3 linked regions of the Saccharomyces cerevisiae S288C genome follow. Each later gene encodes a partner of the first gene's protein in a complex. Each region holds a gene or a part of one and is shown in the gene's direction. Other genes may lie near its edges.

Evidence for each region. The genes of interacting proteins can lie anywhere in the genome.
Region 2: MRPL13 (region 1) and MRPL44 share a complex: the UniProt entries of both Saccharomyces cerevisiae proteins name them as parts of the mitochondrial large ribosomal subunit.
Region 3: MRPL13 (region 1) and MRP49 share a complex: the UniProt entries of both Saccharomyces cerevisiae proteins name them as parts of the mitochondrial large ribosomal subunit.

The regions. Positions count from the first base shown.
Region 1 is NC_001143.9:449,500-453,295, reverse strand, and holds MRPL13 (mitochondrial 54S ribosomal protein mL50 MRPL13), read left to right. Parts: upstream 1-2,078; coding exon 2,079-2,873; downstream 2,874-3,796. Other genes in the region: RSC4 (Rsc4p), read right to left, coding at 1-1,095; MEH1 (Meh1p), read right to left, coding at 1,308-1,862; YKR005C (uncharacterized protein), read left to right, coding at 3,129-3,275, 3,345-3,796. UniProt on the Saccharomyces cerevisiae protein: Component of the mitochondrial ribosome (mitoribosome), a dedicated translation machinery responsible for the synthesis of mitochondrial genome-encoded proteins, including at least some of the essential transmembrane subunits of the mitochondrial respiratory chain.
Region 2 is NC_001145.3:720,460-723,346, reverse strand, and holds MRPL44 (mitochondrial 54S ribosomal protein mL53 MRPL44), read left to right. Parts: upstream 1-1,943; coding exon 1,944-2,001; intron 2,002-2,148; coding exon 2,149-2,387; downstream 2,388-2,887. Other genes in the region: TATA-binding protein-associated factor TAF7, read left to right, coding at 1-734; ORA1 (oxidoreductase), read left to right, coding at 951-1,754; MRE11 (MRX complex nuclease subunit), read left to right, coding at 2,694-2,887. UniProt on the Saccharomyces cerevisiae protein: Component of the mitochondrial ribosome (mitoribosome), a dedicated translation machinery responsible for the synthesis of mitochondrial genome-encoded proteins, including at least some of the essential transmembrane subunits of the mitochondrial respiratory chain.
Region 3 is NC_001143.9:133,221-136,405, reverse strand, and holds MRP49 (mitochondrial 54S ribosomal protein mL61 MRP49), read left to right. Parts: upstream 1-2,271; coding exon 2,272-2,685; downstream 2,686-3,185. Other genes in the region: cAMP-dependent protein kinase catalytic subunit TPK3, read left to right, coding at 701-1,897; putative serine/threonine protein kinase KKQ8, read left to right, coding at 2,944-3,185. UniProt on the Saccharomyces cerevisiae protein: Component of the mitochondrial ribosome (mitoribosome), a dedicated translation machinery responsible for the synthesis of mitochondrial genome-encoded proteins, including at least some of the essential transmembrane subunits of the mitochondrial respiratory chain.

The DNA.
Region 1 (3,796 bases):
GCCGAGACCTTCGAAATGATTGAAATCATAATCTGCTTGATCAATAAGATCTTCACGGTTAGATTCTGGCTCAATATCATTATCAAGAGCAGATATAGCTAACGCACCTGCTGCGGCTGGACCACCACCACCAATAGCTAAGTAGTTTTCGAATTCGAATTTGTCAAATTCTAAATTAATTTCGCCACGTTCATTTAAATCCTGTAACTCTGGGAAGAATTCCTTTTGTATTAAGTAGTTAAAATAATTTGTTAAAGTTGTTGCGTCTTTGTAAATCAAAGCGCTTGGATCATTGAATATATGAGCATTCTGAAAAACTAAAAGCATATCAATGATGAAATCATATATCTTGGAATACTGACCAATTTCGAGGTTCTGCTTTACGATCGATAAAGCCATGGGGCTATGCACTATTTCATAATATTCAGGAAGTTCATCTTTATCGACTAATTCCATAAACGGTTCACTTAGCTTGACTTTGTCGTCTAAGTTTTTAGGAGATGACGCACCCAGCAGAGCCTGGTTGATTTTCTTTTCCGTGGCGTCAACTAGCTTATTAAGATAGTGCAGTAATTTGGCTTTGACCTCGCTGTTAATTAAGTAATTTCTTTTCAAATTTTTTGCCTTCAATACTTCAAATTCAATCAACATTACTACTTGCATGGAGTTTTTTACAATCAAACTGTCATATTCATTGTAAGCTTGACAATTCTTTGTCAGTAGCTCAACATCCAAAAGAAAATTACTTGGACCATCTTCGTATTCATAATCTCTTGACTTGATTTCATTAATAGACATTGGCTGCTGGATCTTGTAATAATACTGTGGATGAAACTTCCTACTTGGTAGTTTGATGAAATCTTTGAAAATATCTTTGTATTTGTCGATAAGAACATCCAAAGTGAAACTAATAAATCGATTAAATTTAGGTATATGCCAGTCATCTAGAAAAAGTTCAGATTTAGGGTTTAATGGGGCGTTATAATCCACATGCGGAGTTTTCTCTTGGTTTTTAGGATGTTTTCCCGGCAAGTATTTAGGCCTTTCATCACTGCCACCGGCCTCAGTTGCCAACTTACGCTTCTTAACTACCATATCTGTGTACTTTATCTATTATTCTTTGGTTTGCTCTCTATTGTAATAACAGGCTGAGGGTCGTTTTAAACATCATCCTCTAGCATGCTTTTGTTGTTTTTTTTCTTGGGCTACTTGTCTTCCGAATTCGTCAAATGTGATTTTTTATTTCATTAACTATTTAACATTTATTTATAAAGCTTGTATACCAATGATGTTATACAAAAAGTTCATTAAAAGGGAACCGTCAAGGGGCCTGGTTTGTTTACCTGGGACTGGCTGAAAATTTCATTTAGTATATTAGAGTGCAACTTCTTTAACTGTTCCTTTGATATTTTCGCTGAATCCGGTGATGTAAGCAGAGTAAACGTATTAGTCCTTGGTGCAGTTTGGTGAGTAGTTGCCTGTGCGGATCCGCTTGAAGGCACTGAGTGCCCACTGAGGTTGTCATCACCTGCACTCCTTTCGTCTTCCCGGGAATCTCCACCTTCTTCCTGTTGTCTTTTATCAAGAGCTTCTTGCAGGTCTGTCCCTTGAATTACAATGCCACTATTGTTTATCATCGATATGTCTATTAGTTTATCGTTGGTGTTTGCAACAATGTCTCTTAACTCTTGTTCCCTGGCCAGCAGTTTCTGTTCGTGTTCGTGTTCCTTCAACCGCATTTGTTCGGCATCGTATTCGTCATTTGCGTTTCCTTGACTTCCATAGCCTGCCTGCTGTTCCCTCAGCAAAGCTTCATTCTCTTCGCCGGAATGGTTTCTACAACAGCTGAGTACGGCTCCCATTTTTACGACTTAAATCTGTCGTTGTATCCACTACCGCTATACTGGATTCGTACTCTGTGAATGCTCTCTTTTATTCTTCGTTCTTTATCGCTGCTGGTGAGGCGGGTAGCTGACAAATTTATAGTGAAACAACGACTTCTGTCAAATTAACTGCATGCCTGATCATCAGTCCTGAAGTGAATAATGGGTAGACGGAAAGGCGGACATAGTATGAGGATGTCGTCACTGCTTAAATTACATTGTATTAGACCATTGCCGCAAAGGTCGGTCTGGCTCTCTGGCTACAAGCAGAAAGCCAGATGTATTCACAGTTCCGCTGCAAACGGGGACTTTATGTCATGGTTCAAGAGGAAGAAGCAAGAAGAGCACCAAGAGCCTGTCAAGGACACCAAACAGTTGATAAAGGATATTGAAGAAGGCACTAACGAGGCTTCCTCTCAATCCTCTTCCAATAACAAAAACAGATTGGAGCTAATACCAGAAAATTTTATTGGCGAAGGGTCTAGACGGTGTAAGAGACAGAAGGAGTTGAAGCTTGCGGTCTCCTCTGCGCCATTCAATCAGTGGTTATCCAGGGATAAGATTACGTCTGATAATCAGTTAGATGATATGATATTGCAGGCAACGGAAAAAACATTGGGCAAAGTAGACCAGGACGTCCAATTCTCTGATTTGGTAGCTAAATTTCAGTTCACCAAATTTTTGCAATCTAAATCTGGCTATCTAATTCCTGATTATGAACTGACCACTTTAAGCACACCCTTGCAGTTTAAAAGGTATATTAAGGAAAAAATTTTGCCATCTGCCAACGATCCTAAACTCGCTTATAAAGAAGCTGAGCCAAATGCTATCCACCCATTTTCTGATAATTACGCGTCACCAAACATATATGTTGTTAACGATGTTACTTCTAAAGAGCAAAAAAGTAAATATGATACTATTATGAAAGAAATTCAAAAGTTAGAGGATGATGCAACAAGAAAAGCTTTGGAAACAGCAAGATCCGCTTAGCTTATGTTAATACTATTATTACTACTATCATTACATTTTAATATCCTGTACATATATATACTCTTTGAAGAAGTTTGGATTTTTCTTTCCCATTATAGATCACTTTTTTTTTTTACCTTATCTTTTCTGTAAGTTCTTTTTGTGGCTATATTTCCTCTTTGGCGGCTAACTCAAGAAGCAGTAAGGGAATAATTCGTTACACATTACAGCTAGCTAAAATCATCAAGAGGCAGGAACACACGAGATATACTGATAATGTTGGAATGTCTAAGCGCTCTGCTGGTTCTCTTTGCCGGTGGTGGTGGGAGCGTTCTCGCAGCGGTTCAAAGCAAAACTGTGGCAGATCCTAACTTATGTCCAGGTTACAATTCACAACTGATTTCCCCCTTCCTCTCCAGTTGCGTATGTACAACAAATTTACCGAGGTACTAATATTCTCTAGATTTTATTACTGACAAGATCCATGTGAAGAAACGAAATTTAAGTGAATGCGTGTCCCGTTATTTTGATGAACAATATGCATTTTGTCGGTCATGCGTTACTGTGAATAATGAAACAATGGAGGACTTGGATAACTGCAAATGTTTACAGTGTGCCTTGAGTTCCCTTAATAATAGCTGCTTTCACGATTACTGTACCTCCAAAGATGAGTATGACAAGTTGCAGATCGTTGTTGAACAATTTCAATTGACAAATGGAGTTTTAGATGACGGAGAGATTTTGAAACCTAGAGGCAACAAATTTTCTAGTAGAAAATTGTCTTATTTCGTTGGTCAAAACAATACTCTTTTTAGGAACCCTTTGCAGTTCGAAAAAAACCAATTAATTTCTGCACTATTAACCTCTTTAACCAATAATCAAAAGACTATATCATCAGTTGACATGTTCGAAGTGGTTGACGCTAATAATGAAGTTCAATATTT
Region 2 (2,887 bases), on another chromosome or scaffold:
TACACACAATTGCTTCGGCAGTAGGAAAACAAGGTGCAGAAGAAGAGGGAGAAGAAGGAATGGAAGAAGAAGAAGAGGAGGATCTTGACCTAGGCGCTGCTTTTGAAAGTGAAGAGGAAGGTAGCGGTGCCGAGGGAGACAAGGAGCAACAACAAGAGGAAGTCGGTGATGAGGTGGATCAAGACACAGGCGGAGAAGATGATGACGATGATGACGACGGTGACATTGAAGCTGCTGGTGGGGAAAGTGAATCTGATGACGAAAAAGACGAAAACAGACAGCACACTGAATTACTTGCGGACGAATTGAACGAACTAGAGACCACCCTGGCCCATACCAAGCATAAATTAAGTAAAGCCACGAATCCTCTTTTGAAAAGCAGGTTCATAGATAGCATTAAAAAGCTCGAGAAGGAGGCTGAACTAAAACGTAAGCAGTTACAACAAACCGAAGATTCTGTCCAGAAACAACATCAACATCGCTCTGACGCAGAAACTGCAAATAACGTCGAGGAAGAAGAAGAGGAAGAGGAAGAAGAAGAGGAAGAGGATGAAGTGGACGAAGACGAGGAGGATGACGAAGAAAACGATGAGGACGAGGATAATGTGCATGAACGGGAACACATACAAGAGAACAAGGTGGTGCGCGAACTTGATGAAGCCCCCGCAGAGGAAACACTCGACCAGAACGATCTCGATATGATGATGCTATTTGGTGCAGAGGGTGATGAGTAAGTTCTCTTTATCATCTATATATTACTCTTATACACTATACGACTCTACTCTATGACGTATAGCATTGATATATATTAAGGCACGACACCGATTTTTCTTATCGGAGCGATATAAAAAGCTGAAGAAAGGAGGATAGATGAAACAGCATGGCGCATAGAAAGTGTTCAAGCTCACTAGTAAAGGCGGGAAATAGAACATTGAGAACGTATTTTGATAATGTCCCAAGGTAGAAAAGCTGCAGAAAGATTGGCTAAGAAGACTGTCCTCATTACAGGTGCATCTGCTGGTATTGGTAAGGCGACCGCATTAGAGTACTTGGAGGCATCCAATGGTGATATGAAACTGATCTTGGCTGCTAGAAGATTAGAAAAGCTCGAGGAATTGAAGAAGACCATTGATCAAGAGTTTCCAAACGCAAAAGTTCATGTGGCCCAGCTGGATATCACTCAAGCAGAAAAAATCAAGCCCTTCATTGAAAACTTGCCACAAGAGTTCAAGGATATTGACATTCTGGTGAACAATGCCGGAAAGGCTCTTGGCAGTGACCGTGTGGGCCAGATCGCAACGGAGGATATCCAGGACGTGTTTGACACCAACGTCACGGCTTTAATCAATATCACACAAGCTGTACTGCCCATATTCCAAGCCAAGAATTCAGGAGATATTGTAAATTTGGGTTCAATCGCTGGCAGAGACGCATACCCAACAGGTTCTATCTATTGTGCCTCTAAGTTTGCCGTGGGGGCGTTCACTGATAGTTTGAGAAAGGAGCTCATCAACACTAAAATTAGAGTCATTCTAATTGCACCAGGGCTAGTCGAGACTGAATTTTCACTAGTTAGATACAGAGGTAACGAGGAACAAGCCAAGAATGTTTACAAGGATACTACCCCATTGATGGCTGATGACGTGGCTGATCTGATCGTCTATGCAACTTCCAGAAAACAAAATACTGTAATTGCAGACACTTTAATCTTTCCAACAAACCAAGCGTCACCTCATCATATCTTCCGTGGATAAACCTAGCTAAACTAAGTAAATCTGTATACTTTTTATACATGTAAGACTTTTTAGCTATTTCATTCTTCCCTGAACCGTTTTGCGCGATTCTACGGAATATACCGGCGAAATAAAAGAGATAAACTTATGGATCCTCAAATAGAGGATGAACAGATGTGAAGAAGAAACGAGCTTAATTATATCTTCGCCATGATAACTAAATACTTCAGTAAGGTAATTGTCAGGTTTAATCCCTTTGGCAAGGAAGGTATGTATTTTTTTTCGCTCTGTTATTCGTTCTCCTTACCTTTGGCCATCATGATTTAAAGATTTGGCTAAACTAGGCTGAGGTAGGCTCGAACCGATCTATCACAAATACTAACAGCAAATGATATGGTCATATCATTGATTTCAGCGAAAGTTGCTAGGTTAGTACTTGCTGCCATTCCACCAACGCAACGAAACATGGGCACGCAGATTCAATCGGAAATTATCTCAGATTACAATAAAGTCAAGCCTCTTGTGAAAGTAACCTACAAGGACAAAAAAGAAATGGAAGTCGATCCATCAAACATGAACTTTCAGGAATTAGCCAATCATTTCGACCGTCACTCGAAACAGCTGGATCTCAAACATATGTTGGAAATGCATTGAGAAAATAAAGGCATCTACAAATCTCATTGTAGGCATGCACGTTTCTAATATTCTAACAAAAACAAAGTCAGAGTTCACAAGCAAGCCTGTAAATAATATATATGCAATTACACAAACGTATAGATAGATATACCCAACCAAACTGACTTAAGGTTTAAATAGTATGGCCAATCGAATAGAACCCAAACATTATAGCCATATTAAATTACTCTTTACGCTTGTAAGGAAGACAATGTGGAAACAACATTAAGAGAATGCAGACAATTGACGCAAGTTGTACCTGCTCAGATCCGATAAAACTCGACTATGGACTATCCTGATCCAGACACAATAAGGATTTTAATTACTACAGATAATCATGTGGGTTACAACGAAAATGATCCCATTACTGGCGATGATTCTTGGAAAACTTTCCATGAAGTCATGATGCTGGCCAAAAATAACAACGTAGACATGGTTGTACAGTCCGGTGATCTTTTTCACGTGAATAAGCCTTCCAA
Region 3 (3,185 bases), 320 kb from region 1:
ATATGCCATGGTCCTAATTGAGTTCCTAGGTTTGTCACGACGGTGGCCACCGGCCGATCAACCGTATCATTTACTATTTTTTTCAAGAGGACAACGACTTCATTCTTCAAAAAGTCGTTCCAGGTACGAGTGATTTAGGAAGGTCTGAAGAAAAGCGACTATGCATTTTTGCAAAATTGCGTCAACGTTTCAGATACTCTCTGGTGCGCAAAAATGCGTTTATTTCAAGCCAAGTTGCAATCTTTATCAAAACTTGATATACATTAAAATACTCACTAATATATATATATATATATATATATGTACATATACATATATAGATTTATATGACGTTTCCGACGCATACTGGTGAACCACTTTCTTTTTAGTGAATAGCCTCATTATGCAGTTTCCGGTATTTTTTTTCCGTTGCTTCAGCTACGGGATTTCTTCGATGCCATTGAAAAATAAAGTTGTGTTCAATGAGAATATGGAAAGAAAAGACACTTTTTACCAGCTGATCTTAAAAGTTTTGTCTGCTTTATTACTTCTATCGGTAAGAAACTCGAGTGGACATACGAGACACTTTGTGCAGTCGTCGGAGAAAATTTATAGGCGATCACTCTTTAAGCAATAAGAAAGTTTCACGTATATTATTGAATAATACATTAATCATATTGTATATCGGTGGTTGTACAAGGAAAGAGCGAGCCTGCACAAAATGTATGTTGATCCGATGAACAACAATGAAATCAGGAAATTAAGCATTACTGCCAAGACAGAAACAACTCCAGATAACGTTGGACAAGACATTCCTGTAAACGCACATTCGGTGCATGAGGAATGTTCTTCCAACACACCCGTGGAGATAAATGGAAGAAACAGCGGAAAGTTGAAAGAAGAAGCGTCTGCAGGTATTTGTTTGGTTAAAAAACCAATGCTACAATATAGAGATACCTCAGGAAAGTATTCCCTAAGTGACTTTCAGATTTTAAGAACTTTGGGAACTGGCTCATTTGGGAGAGTTCACCTAATTCGTTCCAATCACAATGGGAGGTTTTACGCTTTGAAGACATTGAAAAAGCACACTATAGTGAAGCTGAAGCAGGTTGAACACACCAATGACGAACGCCGAATGCTTTCAATTGTTTCACATCCATTCATCATTCGAATGTGGGGAACGTTCCAAGATTCTCAGCAAGTTTTCATGGTAATGGACTACATTGAAGGTGGTGAATTATTTTCTTTACTACGTAAATCTCAAAGATTTCCCAACCCAGTAGCCAAATTTTATGCCGCAGAGGTATGCTTAGCGTTGGAATATTTGCACAGTAAGGATATAATATATAGAGACTTGAAACCAGAAAATATCCTTCTAGATAAAAACGGCCATATCAAGATAACCGACTTTGGCTTCGCAAAATACGTTCCCGATGTCACATACACATTATGTGGCACACCAGATTACATAGCGCCGGAAGTGGTCAGTACAAAACCGTATAATAAATCAGTGGATTGGTGGAGTTTTGGTGTGCTAATCTATGAAATGCTTGCCGGATACACTCCATTTTACAATTCGAACACCATGAAAACTTACGAAAATATACTGAACGCCGAATTGAAGTTCCCACCATTTTTCCATCCAGACGCGCAGGACTTATTGAAGAAGCTAATTACCAGAGACTTAAGTGAAAGGTTGGGTAACTTACAAAATGGAAGTGAAGATGTCAAGAACCATCCGTGGTTTAACGAAGTGATATGGGAGAAATTGTTAGCAAGATACATAGAAACGCCGTACGAACCACCAATCCAACAGGGCCAAGGTGACACTTCTCAATTTGACAGATACCCTGAAGAGGAATTCAACTATGGAATTCAAGGGGAGGATCCATATATGGATTTAATGAAAGAATTTTAAGGAGGTTCAGTGGGATAATTGTAATTGAAAAAAAAAAAAAATCAATAAAAGTAAAAACAAGAACAAGAAAAAGCACAAACAAACCTGGTTATAGATTCTTGGTGAGTCTAACAGGGCCATGATAAAAAAGTGACACATGCATATATGTACATGTATATATCTACGTACGTCTATTCAATAGAGGTGTATACAGATAAATAAAGGAGCATTCATATACGCCATATTGTGACTACATTTGCGTCCTCAGAAGACTGGGACGTTCAAAGTGATCTAGGACTTTTCACCCAGGGAAAACAGGATATCTGTAAGAATCGGCCATAAAACTCATTAATAGAAGAACAGTATAACATAAGTGAGCCTGCTACAATAAGAAGATGTCTAAGGTTGCACAACAGTTAAAATTTTTGAATAAAATTAGCGCCACTACCAGACTACCGCAGATTCTAGTCGATCCTAAAAAATACTCAGGTCTTAGATTGACTTTTCAAACGAAAAACCACAATGGACATATGGGTGCCAGAGTTTTTTGGCATAACTACCTACCCACTTTGCAGTTCTATAATCCAAGAATGAAGTTTGACGTGATAAGGATAAAGAACGAAGACAAGCAAAAAAGCGTTCCATGCAAACTGGAGATTTTATCTCATGAAGGCTCCGTTGTAGAGACTATTGATATGCGTAATAAAATGCATGAAGATATAATGAAAGACTTACTTGACAAAATAGAGCACGTTCCTCTTCCTGAAAATGAGATCATAAGAGTTGGACCGCAAGAAAGTATTATATAAGCTTTCTCTCGATAAGTTTGTTCATGTATATATCAAAAAACATTGCCCTTCATGGAAATATGTAAATTCAAAACTCACTTATGGGGCATATAAGTATATAATTTAGAGTACAATAAGTAGGATTGTGCTGAATATTGTCAGCCCTTGGGTCCCTTTTTTTGCCCTCCGCGTATTTCTTGTGGAAAATAAGGAAATTTCATTTTCACTTCAACTAGCTAGTTTAATTGCATGATGGACTCAAAAACATTGACAGCATCAATGGTAATGCAGGAGGAGAAGAAGCGGCAACAACCTGTGACAAGAAGAGTAAGGTCATTTTCTGAGTCCTTTAAAAACCTTTTCAGGCCGCCTCGTTCAAGAGATTCAAGTCCTATTAATGTCACCCGAATTCCTTATCGATCGTCTTCTACCTCACCCAAGAGAAGCTCTGAGCCACCAAGACGATCAACCGTATCCGCACAAATTTTAGATCCAAAAAATTCTCCAATACGCCAGCGTAG